3 linked regions of the Mus musculus genome follow. The protein of the gene in region 1 interacts with the protein of each later gene in a pairwise test. Links are inferred from orthologs where the notes say so. Each region holds a gene or a part of one and is shown on either strand. Other genes may lie near its edges.

The links.
Region 2: the proteins of Ptk6 (region 1) and Fcho1 interact in binary tests that used the Homo sapiens proteins (3 or more experiments, as listed by UniProt). The two-hybrid records come from large-scale screens. The link is inferred for Mus musculus from reciprocal best matches to the Homo sapiens genes PTK6 and FCHO1.
Region 3: the proteins of Ptk6 (region 1) and Exoc5 interact in binary tests that used the Homo sapiens proteins (3 or more experiments, as listed by UniProt). The two-hybrid records come from large-scale screens. The link is inferred for Mus musculus from reciprocal best matches to the Homo sapiens genes PTK6 and EXOC5.

Annotation. Positions count from the first base shown.
Region 1 is NC_000068.7:181,194,597-181,197,330, reverse strand, and holds the end of Ptk6 (protein-tyrosine kinase 6), read left to right. Parts: intron 1-204; coding exon 205-386; intron 387-876; coding exon 877-1,030; intron 1,031-1,374; coding exon 1,375-1,562; 3' UTR 1,563-2,207; downstream 2,208-2,734. UniProt on the Homo sapiens protein: Non-receptor tyrosine-protein kinase implicated in the regulation of a variety of signaling pathways that control the differentiation and maintenance of normal epithelia, as well as tumor growth.
Region 2 is NC_000074.6:71,722,840-71,727,254, forward strand, and holds the start of Fcho1 (F-BAR domain only protein 1), read right to left. Parts: upstream 2,843-4,415; 5' UTR 2,794-2,842; intron 506-2,793; exon of another isoform or gene 396-505; intron 1-395. UniProt on the Homo sapiens protein: Functions in an early step of clathrin-mediated endocytosis. Has both a membrane binding/bending activity and the ability to recruit proteins essential to the formation of functional clathrin-coated pits.
Region 3 is NC_000080.6:49,018,049-49,021,699, reverse strand, and holds part of Exoc5 (exocyst complex component 5), read left to right. Parts: intron 1-275; exon of another isoform or gene 276-417; intron 418-2,132; coding exon of another isoform or gene 2,133-2,177; coding exon 2,178-2,298; intron 2,299-3,651. UniProt on the Homo sapiens protein: Component of the exocyst complex involved in the docking of exocytic vesicles with fusion sites on the plasma membrane.

The sequences.
Region 1 (2,734 bases):
TGACCTTAGATTGCTTTATGATTCCCAGAAAGGGTGTCAGACAAAGAATATGCTCTTTGTCTCTAGGTACATAGCTGCAGAAGGTCTAGGCCTTCCCATTTTGCAATTAAGCCAAGCCAGCTGCTCTTTGCTGTAGCCTTCGTAGCCACAGTAAATGAGGACTGGTCTCTGGCCAGCTGACTCTGGCCTTTGATCACCCTACAGACTCTGATGAGAAAGCCCTGCCTATTTTGGAGCTGGTGGACTTTGCATCACAGGTTGCTGAGGGCATGTGCTACCTGGAATCTCAGAATTACATCCACCGTGACCTGGCTGCAAGGAACGTTCTTGTTACAGAGAACAATCTCTGCAAAGTGGGGGACTTTGGGCTTGCCAGGCTTGTCAAGGTAGGTCCCTTGGAGGTAGGAGACAGAAGCAGGAGGTGGGGCTTTATCTCCCAAGCCTTGAGCTGAACCTAGCCATAAGCAAGATGGGTTCCTGATAGGGTGGCGTTAATAGGCAAGCAAGATGGCTTTATCTATACAGCCACAGCCTTGTTCATACCCTACTGATCTAGCTTTGAGAACCTAGACAGACATAGCCATGTACCTAGAGATTTTCCTGTATTCATGCATTGTAACTCTGCTCTTGTCTTTCCCTGACCCAGAATTCTAGTGAATTGGCATATTTACTGGGCCTAGCCATGATTCTGGCAGCATTGGTGGTAGCTACCCATGGTAGCAGTGGGGTGGTGTTAGTGGGTCAGACAGCAATAGGCAATGTGGTTGTCCCTGCTCACCAGGACCTTGGAGTCCATGCTTGTCAGTGCTACACAAGAAGGGTACAAGTGGCAGCTCTCTCTAGTGTCAGGTCCTACCATAAGACATCTTACCACAGGAGGACATCTACCTTTCCCATGAGCACAATGTCCCCTACAAATGGACAGCACCTGAGGCACTTTCCCGAGGGCATTACTCCATCAAGTCTGATGTCTGGTCTTTTGGAGTTCTTCTTCATGAAATTTTCAGCAGGGGGCAGATGCCCTACCCAGGTATTGCCCCAAGAATGTCTCCAGGGGTGGACAAATAGTGAGCTAGAGTCAGGGCAGGTCTTGAATGGGTGACAGAGATGACAGGAGGTGTTTCCCAGGGCCTCAACCAGACCCCACCCCTGTTTCATTCCTCGAGCATCTGGGAGCATGCTTTTGGGATCATTTCTGGGAGACACCATCCACAGGGAAGGGAACATCCATGGACAGTGTGCTACAACATGTCCAGGGCATGATGGTGGTCATTCTAGCAGGGGTCAGCATTCAGGGAGGAGCCAAAGGAAGCTGGGTGTGGCTTCCAGGGATCAGTCTCCTAGCTCTCATTTCTCTTCTCCCATGGGCCACAGGCATGTCCAATCATGAAACCTTCCTGAGGGTGGATGCCGGCTACCGCATGCCCTGCCCTCTGGAGTGCCCACCCAACATACACAAGCTGATGCTCAGCTGCTGGAGCAGAGACCCCAAGCAGAGACCTTGCTTCAAAGACCTGTGTGAGAAACTCACAGGTATCACCAGGTATGAGAACCTGGTCTGAGCTCCTTGGACGTGGCCAGGACCCACAGAAGAGGGCCTCGTGATTATCCTGGACTTCTATTGAAGGCATGAACCATCCTTCAGTTTACTGAGATGAAGGGATAGGAAACATACCAAACATACCTCAAATACTGCGTTTTGTCAAGGAAAGAGTAAAGAGGCTCCTTTCCCTTTTTTGGGGGGGGGGGGTTTCGAGACAGGGTTTCTCTGTATAGCCCTGGCTCTCCTGGAACTCACTTTGTAGAGGAGGCTGGCCTCAAACTCAGAAATCTGCCTGCCTCTGCCTCCCAAGTGCTGGGATCAAAGGCGTGCGCAACCCGGCTTCCTTTCCCTCCTCCAGGAGGCAATACACAAAATCCAGAAAGTCACTCTCTGGCTTCTTCCTCCCTTCTCCTGTGAAGACTTCATGTGACAGAGAAGCCAAGAAGAGTCTAGGCAACAGGCCTTGTGGAGTTCTTTTCATACCACTTTTGGAGCTTGACTGTCCACAAACACATACCCTACCCTTTAGCACCTTAATTCTGCAGGATCTTATGCCACATACAACCCAGAACAAGTTTACATGATTTTCTCTTTATAACCTTGGTTTTGTTGGAGGATCCTCACCTAGAAAGTTGAAGACAGAGATAAATGGATATGAAATTTCTGCTTTGTGGTTTCCGGTGCCCAGTGGGGAGTGAGTGCTTGAGATACCCAATCACCTGGGGTCCGCAGAAGCAGAGGGAAGACGATGGAGTCAGTAAGAGCCAGGAGATTTTCTTGTTTGCTTTTTCCAAGACAGGTTTTCTCTATGTAGCTCTGGCTGTCCAGGAAGTCATTCTGTAGACCGGGATGGCATTAAATTCACAGAGATCCACCTGCCTCTGCTTCCCAAGTGCTGGGATTAAAGGCATGTGCTACTGTTGTTGCCTGGCAGAGCCAGGATTCTTAACCATGTGGGCAGAGGCAGCTCTTCTGCATCTCTGCCCGAGGCTCTGCACTTGTTTCTAAAGTCAAACTCGGTCTGAGCTTGTGAGTCTGGTGTTTACTTTCAGAGCTCCGTGTCCTTTCCCTTCAGAGATGCTTTTGCCCTGGGTTCCTGAGGCAGGATACCCTTATATCCTGTGCCATCCTCTGATTCCCATTTGGACCCGAGTTTTCCAAGATGGCTCTGGTCCAAGGCTGCTCTCCCTC
Region 2 (4,415 bases), on another chromosome or scaffold:
CGCTGGGTAGATGACAGTTGTCTTCGTCATCTTGGGCAACAGTCTCCCGGAAGCCATCAATGTCCCCAGAGCTCATGTTAGACAGCACCCTGCTTCCCGCCACCCTAACATAAAAGCCACTCTTAGGGGGCATACTTCATGCTGTTCCCTACCCCACCTGGCTAGATACCAGCTATCAGGGCCATGACCACCCATCTGGCTCTACCCAGCAGCCCTTGATGGGCCACAACCTGCACCCAGATCAGGGCCTCCCGCCTGAAGAGTAGGGCCAAGGATAGGCCCAGAGGCTGCCACCTGGCCAGGAAGTGACAGACCGACCGTTGGCCCCAGACCCGGAGCCACGGCTGTGGGATAACTTCCTGCTCTGAGGAGACAAAGATTGGGGTCAAACTCACCGATGGGCACTGAGAGTTGGGGCCCCTGAAGGATGGGGTAGGCACCGGGAGGCTATGACCCCTGACACTTCCGCCAGCACTAACTGGAGGCCTCTGTGTCTGGGGGAGGACAGGAAGCCTGGCCCGCCCTGCCTGCCACCCAACCGTCACCTCCCCGCCCAGCATCCCTGGGACCTCCCCATAGTCACAGGGCAGCCACACAAATGGGGGAGGTGAGGGAGCAGACTGGAGGCGACATGATCATTACCAGAGAGACAGACAGCCACAAGTGTCTACCTTGGCCTGCGCTAGGTCAGTATGCCCATGAGTGGAAACCGAGGCTTGAAGACAGGTGAAGCCTCACCCTCAGAAAGGGAAACTCAAATATTCTTACAATTACTTTAGGATCAACAGATTAAAGTTTGTTTTTAGAAATGGTCTCAAGTAGCTGAGGCTGGCCTCAAAATTCACTATGTAGCAGAGGATGGCCTCACATTTTTGATCCTCCTGTCTCCTCCTCTGGGTGCTAGGGTGATGGTGTGGTGTAAATATTAAGTACTACAAGGCGTCTCTCAGCCCCTTGTTCTTGGGGTTTCGTTTTGTGTTTTTAAACCGTGTGATTTGGAAAGAAGTTAAAACACCAATAGAGGCCTCTGAAAATGTTTTAGCCTAAGACAGTTTACCTAATGTAACCTGGGGCTTTCTGGGCTCTACAATACTAGAATAAGGTCCAGGGACAGACACTGCTCAGAGGCACAGAGCAAGCACCCCATCTCCTGACACCGAGTCCCCAAAACCTGAGGCTTAGGTGGGTGAACAGCACCAGGGAACTGAGCCAGGCAAGACTAGACCAGAGCTGCACTCTGGGGGTTGGATACAGGCTGGCTGTGCCCACAGCCATTGATCCCTAGTGTGACCCTCACTGCCTCCCCTCCCACACCAGCCAGAAATCTACAGGGAAACTGAGGCCACTGTGCAAGCCTTCCACTGAGTCATTTCATTTGTCACACATACTTTGAGCACCACTGTGTACCCAAGTCCTTGGGGTGCTAGTGACACTGGTCACACCCTTCAAAGACATCTCACTGCCTCCTTGGCTGTGACCCCATTTAATGAATGCAATATCATAATTACTATCATAGGAGTGGGTGTTTACGGCGCGCTGTCACTCCCACAACCACCTCTGATCTTCCTACAGACTTTCAGTCCACTTCACAGAAGGCTCAGTTTAAGTCCAGTCTGGGCACACAAATTTGGGGGTGTCAGGCTTCCTGCCTGGGACTCACCCTACTATCCTGCAAGAGGCAGGGACTAAGACCTGACCTTCCACTTGGGACCCCGCCCAGGAACCAGCCTAGGAACCCTATTGTAGGTGATGGTATGTGGGTCAGGGTGTGACCTGGGCAGCCACATGGGTGGGACCACAGTGACAAAGTCTGGGTCTTGATTGGAGGCCCGTCCATCTTATGGTCAGATAGAAACTGTCCTCTGCTGGCCTTAGGTCTCGCTGCTCCGCCCCAGGCTAGACTGTATCCATCAATCAAAATCATGGTTTGTTTTGTTTATGCTTTTTTAATGAGGCAGAGTCTGTGAATGTAGCCCAGGCTGGCCTCAAGCTGCAGATCTTCCAGCCTCAGCCACCAGAGGATTGTAATGACCACACCAGGCTCAACCCCTTTTAAAGTGCCAAAACCAGAGTGCCCTAACATTTGACTAAAGATTGTGGTCCCCATCTGGAGAAAATGGGGCACAGGTGTTGGGAATTTGAGACAGATAGTCTGGCTTCCTCAACCTCTATATTCTGAGGAGGAGACTAAGGATCAGGGAGGTGCTGTCACCTGCCCAAGGTCACCATGAAGCAGGTCCTGCGACGCTGAGGGCAAGTGGAGGGGCGGCCATCCCCGACCTTCTCTGCACCCCATCCTCATTCACCTAGACTAATTCTGTCCCTTGGAGCAGATGCCGGCTGCCCCCCTAACAGGGCGCGGGAGTCCCTGGTGCAGGCTCCAGGCCTCTCCAGGCCCCGTTCCCCCGGGAGGGGATCCCGCGCTCCATACTCCAGATACCCCGCAATTCCACCACACTCGCCCTACAGAACCCCCACCAGCCTACCAACCCTAGAGCGGGTGCAAAGGAAAGGAGGAGACCCTCGTTCCCAGGCGAGGAAGAGGGGCAGCGAGGGAGGCGGCCCCCAGCTTAGGGCCAGGCTAGAGACCCGGAAGAGGGATTGGGGGTCCTGGGGGGGGTCTCAGCCTCCCAGCCCAGGATTGAGAGATGCCATAGAGTGGCGCCCCGCCTTCTGCAGACGGCACCTGCGCTCGGGCCGGGTCAGGATGGAGGCTGCGTCCCCGCCCCGCACCCCGCCCCCGCGTCCTGCACCCCGCACCCCGCACCGGAGCCCCGCGCCGGGGACACTCACCGCCTCTCGCGGCGCTACCTGCGCGCTCCAGACCCGCGCCCCGCCCTCCCCGCGCGCTGCGGAGCGCGCTGCTGGCCCCGCCATGGGTGTGGTCAGGAGGAGCTCCGCCCCGCGGTGCTTCATAAACCCTGCACTGGTTGGCTGAGCCTGGAAATTCATCCGCAGGCTATTTGCATATTTTAAAGTGACAGGAGAAGCTCCTTGATCTCTGCACCTGTCAAGTCTCTCGGGAGACTGGGAGGGAAAGAGGGGATAGCTTTTATTAAGTACCTACTGCATACATGGCTCTTTGGAGAACCCCTCCGAGGCTGTGAATTAGGTGACATTTAATATTGAGCCTCATTTTACAAACAAAGGAATCAAGGAACATGGCTAGGAGTTGCTTTGGAGGTCATATAGCAACTCTGGTCTATCCATTCATGTGACATGCCATTTATTTATTCAGGCTGTGTGCTGGTGATGAAGCCAGGCTGCCCCAGCATTAAGCAAGAGCCACATGTCCACTCCACTCCCATATGACAACTTCGAGAGACTTAACTCCCCGGCCTGGGCTCCGTTTCTTGTTCAGGGTCACATGGCAGCATGATGATCCTCAGGACTACTGAGCCATCTCTCTCCCTGCCCCAGAAGCACCTCCAAGGAAGTGGGACCACTGGCCTGGGCACAACCAGAAAGCTAAGTGCCCTTCATCTCCAGTACATGCCCCTGCAGCCTTGGACCCCAGACACCTCAGTTTGGGCATTTTCCTGTGGTGGGAATCAAATCCAGGTCCATCCCAGACTGAGGCTGCCCCACTTCTTACTTGAACCATCTACTGCAGCTCTGCCCCAAATGATGCCGGGTTCTGATGGCAACCATACATAGCTAAATACTAGCTTCAGGGCCGGTGAGATGGCTCAGTGGGCAAAGATGCTTGTAGCAAAGCCTGGATTTTTTGAGAGAGTCCTGAAAAGTATCCTCTAACCTGTGGCATGTGCACACTACCAATGAATCAATTAATCAATTTATGCATCAATTCAAACAATAAAGATTAAACATTTAGATAGGCCCCACACCCAGCTGACTGGTGACCATCTGCCACAATTGGTAAGATAGCCCGCTCTCCATTCTCCATGCTGTTCACATTTTTCACATGTCCTTTTGTTGGCCCAAGAGCCCTCGAGTCACCTTTGGGTTCTGGGATTTGAGAATGGTAAGAAAAGCATCTCTCTCTCTCTCTCTCTCTCCCTCCCTCCCTCCCTCCCTCCCTTCCTTCCTCCCTCTCTCTCCTCCCCATATGTGTGTGGATGTGTGCATGCATGCCATTGCTGTGTCCAGAGCTGGAGTAGGGTGGGTTCCAGGGGCTGAAGCAAAGCCATCAGAGTCGGATGGAACAGGTTTTGACCTGTGATCACTGTCACCTGTCATTGACTGGTTCTAGGCAGGTGCTGGTCTAGAACTCAAGACTTCCCAGGCCCTTTCAGGGGTGTGCACCCCCATAGCAGCCCTCATTCTCGACATGACTCAGTCGTATCTCCGTGATGAGGACACAGGAAATGGGAGAAAGTTTCCCCGAATGTGGACTATCAGGAGGAAAAGTGTGATTGTAATTGTGTGTGTGTGTGTACCATTTATACACATAT
Region 3 (3,651 bases), on another chromosome or scaffold:
GAACTTACTCATTTAGCACATACTTGTTAGATGGTTAGTTATGGGATTCGTGTTCTCATAAAAATGATAGACAAATGATTAGGAAGTATATAATAAAGGAAAACAAAACTAGATAAAGGATAGAAAATACTAACGGGGAGGCAGGGTAAAGGATTTACAGACAGAATTTTTTTCTTTTTCCTTATTTATCATTTATTTTGTGTGTGTTCACGCATGTAGAGGTCAGAGGACAACTTGCAGGAGTTGGTTCTCTTTTTCCACCATGTTTGTTCCAGGGATCGAACTCAGGTGGTCAGGCTTGGCAGCAGGCACCTTTACCCACTGAGCCATCTCGCCAGCCTCCCAAAAGCTTTTTATGAAAGGGTAGTCAGAGAAGGCTTCTGAGAAGACACATGAACCAGAGAACTCAATAAAGTGGTGAGTAAACTGAATATTTGGAGTAAGAATAATCTAAGTAGAGACAACAGCATATTAGGAATATATAGGAATCTCAGTTGTTTAGTCCCTCCTACCCTCCAGCATTATACTCTAGCCTGTAGAAAGCATATACAGTTCAGAAAGTTTCTATTGGCTGTGTAAAATACCAGCCTAGAAACCTTTAATAATGAACCAGACTTAGCTATAGACCAGTCACTAACTTAACTCTATTACCCTTCATAAGCAACCATGTCTTTTAGTGAATTTTAACTTAATTAGAGTAGACTGTTGACATTAATTATTTAAATTGTGCTGGTAGAAAATGACTTAGTGTAGTCATTTGTATTAGAATAATTTAAATATTTTAAGATGTGATTACAGAATAAGATGATGAGTAAGAATAAGGGCCAGTAAAATGGTTCAGCAGTAAAAGGCACTTGCTGCCAAGCCTGACAACTTGAGTTCAGTATCCAGATCCCATGGTGGAAGGAGATAACTGACTCTTGAATGTTGTCCTCTGACTAACACACATACATAACTAAAATCAATTTGTTCATTAGAAATTACAAGATAACAAGGAGTAAGGTATGAAGAATTTATTGTTCATTTAGAATGGAAACTTTCCTATTGATTTCAATAGCAGTATTTGAAATGTTTAGGAAAATTTCATTTGGACAGGGAATATTTCTCATATCTATGAGCATGTTCAATGCAGTTAGTGTTCATGGTCATTGTCCTAATGACCACATACAATTCTGCCAGGTAATAAGACATACTGGAGTAGCATTGTAGACCTTTCTTTTTACTGAAATTATTGTCTTTAGGTAAAGTCCCAAGTCAAAGCACACTATGCATATATATTTTAAAATAATTTTCATTAATGTACTTTTTTCCTAAGGAGCTTATTCCGTACAACTTACATTGCTTCTAGCCTGTATGTATATATAGGTTTTTATGTATGTTAGTACATAGTTTTCCATTTTTTTCACATATTATTAGTTAAATACATCCACTAATACTGCCTTAATTTCCATGTTTTATGGTGATTAGTATTTTCTACATGTGCTTCAGTTTTTTTAATTGTATGTTTGTGTTGGCACCTTTAATTTTCCTACCAACAATTGTATTTTTTGTACAAAACATCTTTGTTTTCCATTTGTAAAGCTACTCTAGGTAGTAAGAACTCTAGGCAGTAAGTTATATATTATCATTAGCTGTGGGTGGTTTTCTTAGACTTCTCTTAATTTTACATAGAAACACTGGCATCTCGAGCTAAAAAGAGGAAGGATCCTTGAGTCCGTGTATTTCTCTTTATGAAAGGAGGAAGTGGATCTAGAGCGGGTTTCAGCTCCATCTTTTGGTGTCAGAATGTTGTTGACAAGCACAGAGCATTAGGAGATGTTGTGGAAACACGCCTCTGGGTGATGAGGGTCTGAATAGTTCTGAGGACGGGGTGGAGAACATGATGAGCACAGTGTGTAGTTGTGGTAGGAGGTTTGGGGACAGAAGGAGAAGGCAGAGCCCAGGCACGTTGTTAATTGATTCATTTTCCATTTTATCTAAACAAATCATGAAGATGATTAACTTTGGGGTATAAAAATAGCTTTGGATAAATCTCATTAAGCTGTTTAATCTATAGAATTGTTGCTGATTTGTTACATGACAGTTAATTTTATTCATGTGGTATATATAAATATTTTTTTTCTTTTGCTCAGTTTTTTTAAAGGTTGTTCCCACTTACCTATGCCTTCCGATTTTAGGAATCCCATCATCAGATTCTAGGAATGCAAATCTCTACTTTTTGGATGTTGTACAACAGGCCAATACTATTTTTCATCTTTTTGACAAACAGTTTAATGATCACCTAATGCCACTAATAAGGTTAGTTGCATTGTCATATTTTCATTGGTATTTAATGACTACTATATTTTTATTACTATTTTTAAATAATACATCTTCATATAAGCATCAAATAGGACAGGAGGTTTGAAATAAAAATCTTTTCTTTCTTTCTTGAATTCTTGTTTTCTCTTTTCACTGTGCTGTTAATTTTGATATATTTGAAAAGTTTTAACTATCATGAACCAAAATCTGAAATCTAATGTGGAAAGGGCCTTCCAGCTTAGAGCAGTTCAGCTGTTTGCATCCTTTGGAAGGCAAAGCAGATAACAGGCAGGGTGGTATATGTAGTCTTATCTACTCAGGAGGCTGAGGCAGGAGGATCTCATGTTTGAGGCAGTCTAGTCAACATAATGATTTCAAAGTCAGCTTGGATAACTAAGATGCAATCTCACACAGCGGTTTTATGTTTGCTTGTTTGTCTCTGTCCTTCTGCACCTGCATAAGGCATTCTTCTGATTTGTTTAATAAAGAGCTGATGGCCTATAGTTGAGGCAGGAGAGGAAAGGCCAGTTTCAGGCAGAGGAAGGACCTCTGGGGAAAGGAGATAGGCAGGAGATTGGCCAGCCAGACACAGATGAAGTCAGATGTATTGGAACTGAGTGAAAGGTAATGGACCACATTGTAAACATGGACTAGACTAAATGGTTAAGTTATGCAAGCAAATCAGGAGGTAGTCAGCTAAGGCCTAAGCTTTAATAAATAATAAGTACGTCATTATTCAGAAACTGGCAAGTCTGAGACAGTCACGTCATAAGCTAGTTAGTTCTTTCCTCCCTCTTCTCTTATAAGGGCTGAGGCTAGGAGAGGTATGTAGGATTTTCAGGGAAGAAAGGGAATTGACAAATATTGTAATTATGTTATAATACATATATGCACATGAACACCAGTAGACATGATACACTTGTAAAGATTACAGGAAACAGGAATGAACATATTTTGATAAAGCACTAGGATTTGGATCATATTTCATATCAATTTATATGGACTTTTAAGGCATTTGAAAATTAGAATTATATACATATGAACATATTTCACGAAGTTGTTTTCTTAGCACTGTTATCTATGCAAGAAATGTTGAGATAAATGAGTTTGATAGACTTTATAAACAGTATTATGCCATGTCTAGACCAGAAACAAGTTCAAAGATCATTTGTGATTCCCAAATCAGACTTTGAAAGGAAGTTTACTGTTTTTCTGTGTAACTCAGGTGGGTATTACAGACATGAGCCACCAAGCCTAGCTAGTTCTTATTAATTTACTTTTTAAAAGAACTATTATGCCGCATAACATAGAGTCATAGGAGTTTTAGTGTTGTTTATTCTTTAATATTTT